Cricetulus griseus: one gene and its partner. The protein of the gene in region 1 interacts with the protein of each later gene in a pairwise test. Links are inferred from orthologs where the notes say so. Each region holds a gene or a part of one and is shown in the gene's direction. Other genes may lie near its edges.

Region 1 (3,561 bases):
AATCATGGAAATAAGTGGCCAGGGAAAACATCTATAAATTAAACAGGAATAGGAGGCCAAGGATGGAAAGTTAGTGTGGTGGAAGAGAGTGGGTCACAAAGAAAGAAGCCTGACCAGTCAGATGTAGGTTACCTGGGAGAGTAAGAGAAACCAAGGAAAAGAGGGAGTTTCAAAGTGGATATTTATTTACCCCATGTCAACTTTCTGCTAGGTAGGGTAGCGACTAAGAGTGTACATTGGATTCAGTAGTATTTTCACAAGTGAACATAAAGAAAATTGCAGGCTAGCAAATGGTCTTAATCATAGTGACCAAAGTAAAGTGGGAGGCCAGGAACTTAGTCTGTGTAGAGGGTAGAAGATAGTGACAGAAAGATGGCTGGGTGGAAGGGGTATTGTTGGGCTCCTTTTGTTTGGTTTGGGAATTTGTCAGTATCTTGAAAGTGGAAGATGGTTAGAATTATTGAGCTGCTGAGTTGAAAAGGAGTTTAGTAGAGAGAAAAGGATGAGAGATACGAGAGGTAGCCAAGCGTGCCAGTGCAAAGTGTTTGCTTAGTGTGCAGTAAGGCCTTAGGTTTGAACCAAAAACAAGGCAAGGGAGGTCAAAAAAAGAGCAACTAAAGGAACTGTTTTTAACAGGTAGGTTCTAGAGCACTACAGAATAAAAAAGTAATTAGTGGTTCAAGTTGAAATGAAAATCTCAATTCTAAAACTCAGTTATCATTTATATAGGGTATTAAGACAAGATACTTTCTAGTGAAGATACATGGTTACTACTTTATTCCTTAGAGAGGCTTGTTTATTGTTTGATTCCTGGTAATTTTATAATGTCTTATAATCCAAACAAATATGTATTTCCAAAAAATGGAAAAAAATGATGTTAAAATTTGCTGTACCTACTGAACAGCATTTTCATCTTTTTAATTGCTATGCTGTTTATCTCTACCAGAAGATTAATAATGGTTTCTAAAAGCAAGTTATGTAACATGAGTTCTACTTGGTTTGTTATTTAAATACTACAATTTTTTTTTCTTTTTTCTCTGCAACAAGGATCAAGACTCGTTGAAGAAAAGCCAGGGAGTTGGTCCAATTCGAAAAGTTCTCCTCCTTAAGGAAGATCATGAAGGCCTAGGCATTTCAATTACAGTAAGAAGTAGTGCTTCCGGGTTCCCTGTGGGCAGGGCTGGGAGAACCAGGCATCATCTGGAAAACAAAGTGTTGTGGATATAGCTCAAAACAACCAAATCTTTCAAGACTTAGGCAGCGGCACTTTCGCATAAAACCTTTTTGTGTATAAAACTTGTTATAACTTAGGTGCTGACATCTTCAGTACAACTGAAAGCATGGTCTGTACCATGTCTCTGTGGTGTCCTTGGGGCCTGTGGGCAGCCAGGCTGTCCTTTCTGAGTTAAGTGGCTCAAAATGCAACGCCCTTGGGCTTGGAGAAATGGGTCAGTGGTTACACACTCTGGCTGCTCTTTGAAAGGGCCCAGGTTCAATTCCCAGCACTTACATGGCAGCTCATTAACTGTCTGTAACTCCAGTTCCAGGGGATCTGATACCCTCTTCTGACCTCCTCAGGCACCTGGTATGACCATGTTATAAAGACATGCATGGAGACAAAATACCAATATACATAAGATAAATTTTTAAAGTAAGAATAACATAGAATTATACAAGCTACATAGAGTGAGACCAATTAACAATTGCTATAATCCTTCAACTCAACATTACATATTTTTACATTTCTGAAATTGAGGATTTATCACACAATTTTAAAACTACCTTGGTTAAAGCTGTACATGGTGGCACATGCCTTTTATCCCAGCACTTGTCAGGCAGAGCTAGGTTGAAGGCCAGCCTGGTCTACATACCAAGTTCCGAGCTGCATAGAGAGACCCTGTCTTCAAAAAACAAAACAAAACAAAACAAAACAATTATCTTGGTTATACCTAAAATTGATCTTATCATACATGTCTTAGTGTTCAGTTGCCGTGAAGAGACACCATACCCAGGCAACTCTTATAAAAGAAAACATTTATTTGGGGCTTGTTTACAGTTTCAGAGGATTAGTGCGTTATTATCATGTGGGGGAACATGGCAGCATACATAGCACTAGAGCAGTACCTGAGAACTGTGTCCTGATTCACAGGCCTGGCTTGGGCTTCTGAAATCTCAAAGCCCATCCCCAGTGATGATGTACTTCCTTCAGAAAGGCCACACCTACTTCAACAAAGCCACACCTCATAATCCTTCCAATATGTTTAAACAATTCTACTCCATGGTGACTAAGTATTCAAATATATGAGCCTATGAGAGCCATTCTTATTCAAACCACCACAGTACATAACAATTGAGATTTGCTAAAAGCACTATGGAAGAACCCACAAGATGACACAAAATACTGTCGTTTACTAGTATATAATTTGTTCTTAATGTTTAAGAAATGAGGTTATTGTTTGTTTGGGTATTTTAGTTTGGGGGTCTATAGTGATTTCAGAAAATGGAATGTTTTTAGTCATTGTACTCGGGGGTGCTTCTTTGGTAGCAAGTAAACTTTCACCCAGTGTTTACAGAGACCTTCTGCCTATTGAAATGAGTTTTTAAGAAAATGTCTTCTTGAAGATGATCTGCAGCCATTTAATAAAATATAAACTAACTAACTGCCTTTGGTATTGTTACTGTTAGGGTGGGAAGGAACACGGTGTTCCCATTCTCATCTCCGAGATCCATCCAGGACAGCCCGCTGATCGATGTGGAGGGCTACACGTTGGAGATGCTATTCTGGCAGTGAATGGAGTTAACCTGCGGGACACAAAGCACAAAGAAGCTGTAACCATCCTTTCCCAGCAGGTGAATTCTCTTTATGGAGTTAAAACTAGCATAGAACTTGTTTCCATTCTTTGAAGCCTATGGATGTCATTTGATCATATTTTGCTGAAAAGGACAGTTATGTTTACTCCTTCCCAAAGTTTCTTACCTTTGAACAGATTACATAGGTCGTCTCTGCGGCAGTCTCATCTGTACAGCTGAAGTGTCCAGTAAGGTGTGTGTTGATTGCTACTCAGAATATGATGGGTACATAAGAGCATGACTGATGGCATCATAGCAAGATAGGGCATCAGAGAAAGGGCTGCTGGAAGTAGATTGGCTTTAGTCATAAAATGTAACGTAAGGACCCTGAACATTGTTGTTAGCCCACTTTCCTTTTTTAACAAAATTAAGCTGGGCTGGAGAATTGCCTCAGTGGGTAAGGGCATTTGCTGCTCTTGCAGAGGACCCAGATTCCGACCCTTTGCACCTACACGATGGTTAATAATTGCAGCTCAAGGATTGATCCTAAGCCCTCTTCTGGTTTCAGAGGGCACAGACATTGATGCAGGCAAAACGCCAATATGAATAATATAAAATAATGATAGTGATAAATATTAAAGTAGCTAAACTGAAATCCTTAGAGAATAGAGGATGTGCTCAAAGTTGCCTAGCAAATTAGAGTTCATATTTAGAGTCAGATTTGTTATGTCACGTCCTTGCAACCTCTGTTTTCCTCTGAGAATAGGGTTG
Region 2 (4,292 bases), on another chromosome or scaffold:
AGGCTTTGGATCCCCTGGAGCTGGAATTACAGACAGTTGTTAGCTGCCATACGGGTGCTGGGAATTGGTCCTTGGTTAAGAGCAGTCAGTGCTTTTAAGCCCTGAGCCACTTGGCACCAGTCACTCCTCTCTTAGCCCCATGGCATTGTTGATTAGGTTTCAGCTTTTGACTGTTGGCGGGCACACTCTGACCACAGCACCCCTATCACTAATACACTGGACAGAGACTCTACATATGTAGGATGGGGACAGTTTTAGGGAGAACCCTCATTTGGGGACTGGGAATGCCTTGGCCAGAGGCTGACAAGCAAGAGGGAGGACTCTGGCTTCCTTCCTTTCAGGATGTTTCCATGGGCCCTTCCCATTGCAGGACCTTTGGTTGAAAATAGCCAAACAGGAAGCTGAGACCAAAGCTAGGCTAGAGATCTGACTCCAGTGTTCAGTTCCCAGGATGCTGCTCATCACCAGGTAAACCCTTTCTTTATCCTGTCAGTAGAGGGCGTGAGCCCCAGCCTAGTGTGCACCTTCCCTTCCCTAATGTCCATAGAAGGCTGAAGGAGACCCTTGGGAAGCAGACCATTCAAACGGAGGGAAGGTGCTCTTCTAACCTAGCCCAGGCTGCATGCAGAGAGCGAGACACGGAGAGCCTCAAAATGCATTCACTCTCAAGGACCCCTAGCAAACCCTCATGTTAGGCGTCATTAATTAGGTTTTACCTGTGAGCATCAGGAGACTCAGGGAAAGGGACTGTCTTAGGCTGGTGACAGATACCCAGCTGGAACTTCTGAAGCTCCTATATCCCCACCCCACCCCAAGAAAGGTTGGAGATTCCCTTTCACCCCAACAGGGTCCTAATACTCGCTCTATCACAGAGGAGGCGATATCTCCTATTTTGGAGGGGGGCTGGGTCACCATCAGAGGTTCTGTGGTGGTCTTCAAGTCCTACACTCAGTCTGAGTGGGCTCTGCTTTCTTTAAGGGCCGGATCTTGGAAGATGATGAGAGGACACGTACTGCGCCTTAATCAGCGGCACCCGGTCCCCGCCCCCGCTGGCTTGCTCTCCAGCCTGTCGCGTCATCTGGAGGGTATGTGGACTTCCCACATGGGGCCACCAGAGGGCGCCGCAGACGGAGCAGGGGTCGGGAGCCGGGACTCCCAGCCAAGCCGGCAGCCTCGCGGGTCTACCGCTGAGGGTCAGGGAGTCGGGATTCCCGGGTGCCCGAATTCTAGGAGTGAGATGAACGTTCAGAGTGCGAGCGGTCCACCATTGGCCCCGTATCCTCCCTTCCTGGCCGTTGCCTTTTGAGGTCCACACAGAGAGGGCAGCCCGGGGACGCGTCTGGAGCAGGTGTCTGACCATGGACATCTAGGACCCGGGCTGAGAAGAGGGCAGCGGAGCGTGCGGGCACCCGCAAGGGTCGCAGGGGCCCCATTGCTGTAGCCACGCCCCTCAGAGACCCCGCCTCCATGCCCCGCCCGTCCCGCCCCCTCCCTGCCGGGGTGGGAGACCCGGGGGCCTCCACAGCCGTGAGTCCCGCCATGAATGTTGCCTCGCTCCTACTTCTGCTGCTCCTGGTGGGCCGCCGGCTCCAGGCTGCGGTTGTCACGGAGTCAACGCTGCCCACTGTGGTCCTTGCTATCCTGGCCCGCAATGCGGAACACTCTCTGCCCCACTACCTGGGCGCACTGGAGCGCCTGGACTACCCCCGGGCCAGGCTGGCCCTCTGGTGAGAGATCATGGGTGGGCACATCTGGGCATCACACCCCAGGATCCAGGACAGCCTCTGACCCGGAGGCTTCATCGCTCCTGTTCAGACACCACCGGGCAAGCTCCTCCCTCCCAGACATGCACTTAGGGCCTCAAGCCCTTCAGCAGGGTCCCTAACCCTCTAGGGGCAAGGGCAGACCTCTGAGGCCTTGGGTCAGCCCAAGGACACCCACTCCTCCTTCGGGCCTCCTAGTTTTCGGGCTCATCCCCGGCTTACTCTAGTTTAAGTTAGGCCTGTCCTTTCCTACCCAGCCCTTAGAGCTCACAGCGCATCTCAGTGGTCAGCTTGATTTGGAGTATAACAGGAGTAGAAAACTCTGGAATCCCCAGGGACCTAATGTAGCAAGGATCAGTCAGACTGGAGGTTTCTAGGGAGCAGATGGAGGGAACCCTCAGCTCCAGGCTGCATGCTGGGCAGGGGCATCAGGCTGAGTCCCCTCCTCAGTAGTACTGCCAGCCTCTCCCGGTAGAGGGGCTGGTAGGTTCCATCCCCAAGGTCTGTGGCCTGGGCTCCCAGGCTACAGCAGCCTGTCTATAAAAGTCTAAACAGGGAGGAGCCCAAGCTGAGGCTGGAGATAAACTGCTCCTCTCAGCACACCAAAGTTGGGCTTGGGGTGGAGCTGTGGCCTGGGGAGGCTGCCCACAGTCTCAACAGCTTGGGAATTAGTTCCCACCCTTGTAGGACTTGACACGTAGTTAGTCTTCACTTCTGAGGAATTGGCTTAAAGGGGCAGCATCGTCCGAAACCTGGCTCTTGGCTGAGATTCCCAGCTCTTTTATAAGAACCCCTTCCCCAGCAGAGAGAAAATTGTGCTCCATGGTAACAGGTCTGGCCTCCAGCACTTCTCAGTGTGCTCAGAGCATGGTATAGAGTCCCAGTTACAGTTCAGGATAGAGAAAGGCGGTGACTCTTTTGTCTGATTCAGAGATGGAAAGGGCCTGGCTTGTGGTGCCATGAAGACGGAAGAAAATGAGGGGCATAGCAGGTGCAATCCTTAAGGTCAAGTGCGTCTTTCACAGTGCACTCAGGCTGAGGATGTGGCTCGGTGGTCAAGGGCTTGCTTGGCATGTACAAGTCTCTAGGTCCAATCCCCCAGGACAATGCCCCAAATTAGAAGGGAGGATGTGAAGCACAGCACATCCTCCAGCACCTCCACTGTAGGAATACCTCTCCCCCATTGCTCTCAGGACAGACCAGACTTGAGGGTGTCCAAGGGCACTTCAAAGTCAAGTGCACCTTGGGGTTCCAGCCCCTCTGTGGCTGTGGTCTCTCAGTTTTTATATCATGTGCTCACAGGTGTGCCACAGATCACAACGTGGACAACACCACAGAGATGCTACAGGAGTGGCTGGCTGCTGTGGGCCGTGACTATGCAGCTGTGGTCTGGAAGCCCGAGGAGGAGGCCAGGTGTTAACCTGAGGGCAAGGGTGTTGGAAGAGATGGAGAACAGCTGTTACCCAGTGTCACAGCCCCCAGAGCAGGGCTGTGTCCACAGCCCTGCTGAGAAGGAGAGGTTCCTCCCTTAGAAGAACATCTAACTTCCTTCCCTCCTCAGGCCCTACCCAGATGAACAGAGTCCCAAACACTGGACCAAAGAAAGGCATCAGTTTTTAATGGAGCTGAAGCAGGAAGCTCTGACCTTTGCCAGGGCCTGGGGAGCCGACTACATCCTGGTAAGGAAGCCTGGTCTGGGATTACGTGGGAGGCATTGGTATTGGTCCCCAAAAGAAGTCTTGGTTATGACCAAACCACCAGGCTGCATCTTTTTAGATTGAGCTGAGACCCTGTATTGGCTCCTTGCATACTAGATACTAAGCCTGGATCCTAGGACAATTCTGAGGTTACATGTTGTGCCTAGATTCCTGAGCTTTTGTTTAGAGTATAAACTAAGCCTGGATCACAGGACTGGAGTGCAGAGTATGTTTTTTAAATATTTATTTATTTGGTTTTTCAAGACAAGGTTTCTCTGTGTAACCCTGGCTGTCCTGGAACTCATTCTGTGGCTGGTCTTCAGAGATCCACTTGCCTCCACCTCCCAAGTGCTGGGATTAAAGCTGTGTGCCACCACTACCCTGGGCTCATTTTTGTTTTATGAAAGTGGGCGTTTGGCCTGCAAGCATGTCTGTGCATCACATGCATGCAGTGCTCACAGAGGCCAGAAGAAGACCTCAGATCCCCTGGAAATGGAGCTACACTCAGTAATGAGCCACCATATGGTTGATGGGTTTCAAACTCAGGTCCTCTGGAAGATCCAGTAGTGCATCTAACCACTGAGCTATCTCTTCAGTGCCCTCAGTGTTATTCTTTTGTTTAAATTAGAAATAAAGAAGAAAAGAGGCGGATGAGACATAAGACTGAGAGACATATTAGACATATTAAGCAGTTTATTTTAGGCCTGGCAGAGTAAAGAGACTAAGAGAGAAGAGAAACAGGGGTAATGGCTGACCGCCATGGCCGGTCACCATAGAGAGGCAGAGAGAGTGTAGGTGGGGGAAGAGAAGAGCAGAGAGAAGAGTAGAGAGA

What was found.
Region 2: the proteins of Gopc (region 1) and Cercam interact in a two-hybrid assay, tested with the Homo sapiens proteins (2 studies listed by BioGRID and IntAct). The two-hybrid records come from large-scale screens. The link is inferred for Cricetulus griseus from reciprocal best matches to the Homo sapiens genes GOPC and CERCAM.

What each region holds. Positions count from the first base shown.
Region 1 is NC_048595.1:256,530,862-256,534,422, forward strand, and holds part of Gopc (Golgi-associated PDZ and coiled-coil motif-containing protein), read left to right. Parts: intron 1-1,047; coding exon 1,048-1,143; intron 1,144-2,685; coding exon 2,686-2,850; intron 2,851-3,561.
Region 2 is NC_048599.1:141,525,187-141,529,478, forward strand, and holds the start of Cercam (inactive glycosyltransferase 25 family member 3), read left to right. Parts: upstream 1-1,464; 5' UTR 1,465-1,467; coding exon 1,468-1,727; intron 1,728-3,065; coding exon 3,066-3,176; intron 3,177-3,324; coding exon 3,325-3,442; intron 3,443-4,292. UniProt on the Homo sapiens protein: Probable cell adhesion protein involved in leukocyte transmigration across the blood-brain barrier. Does not express any beta-galactosyltransferase activity in vitro.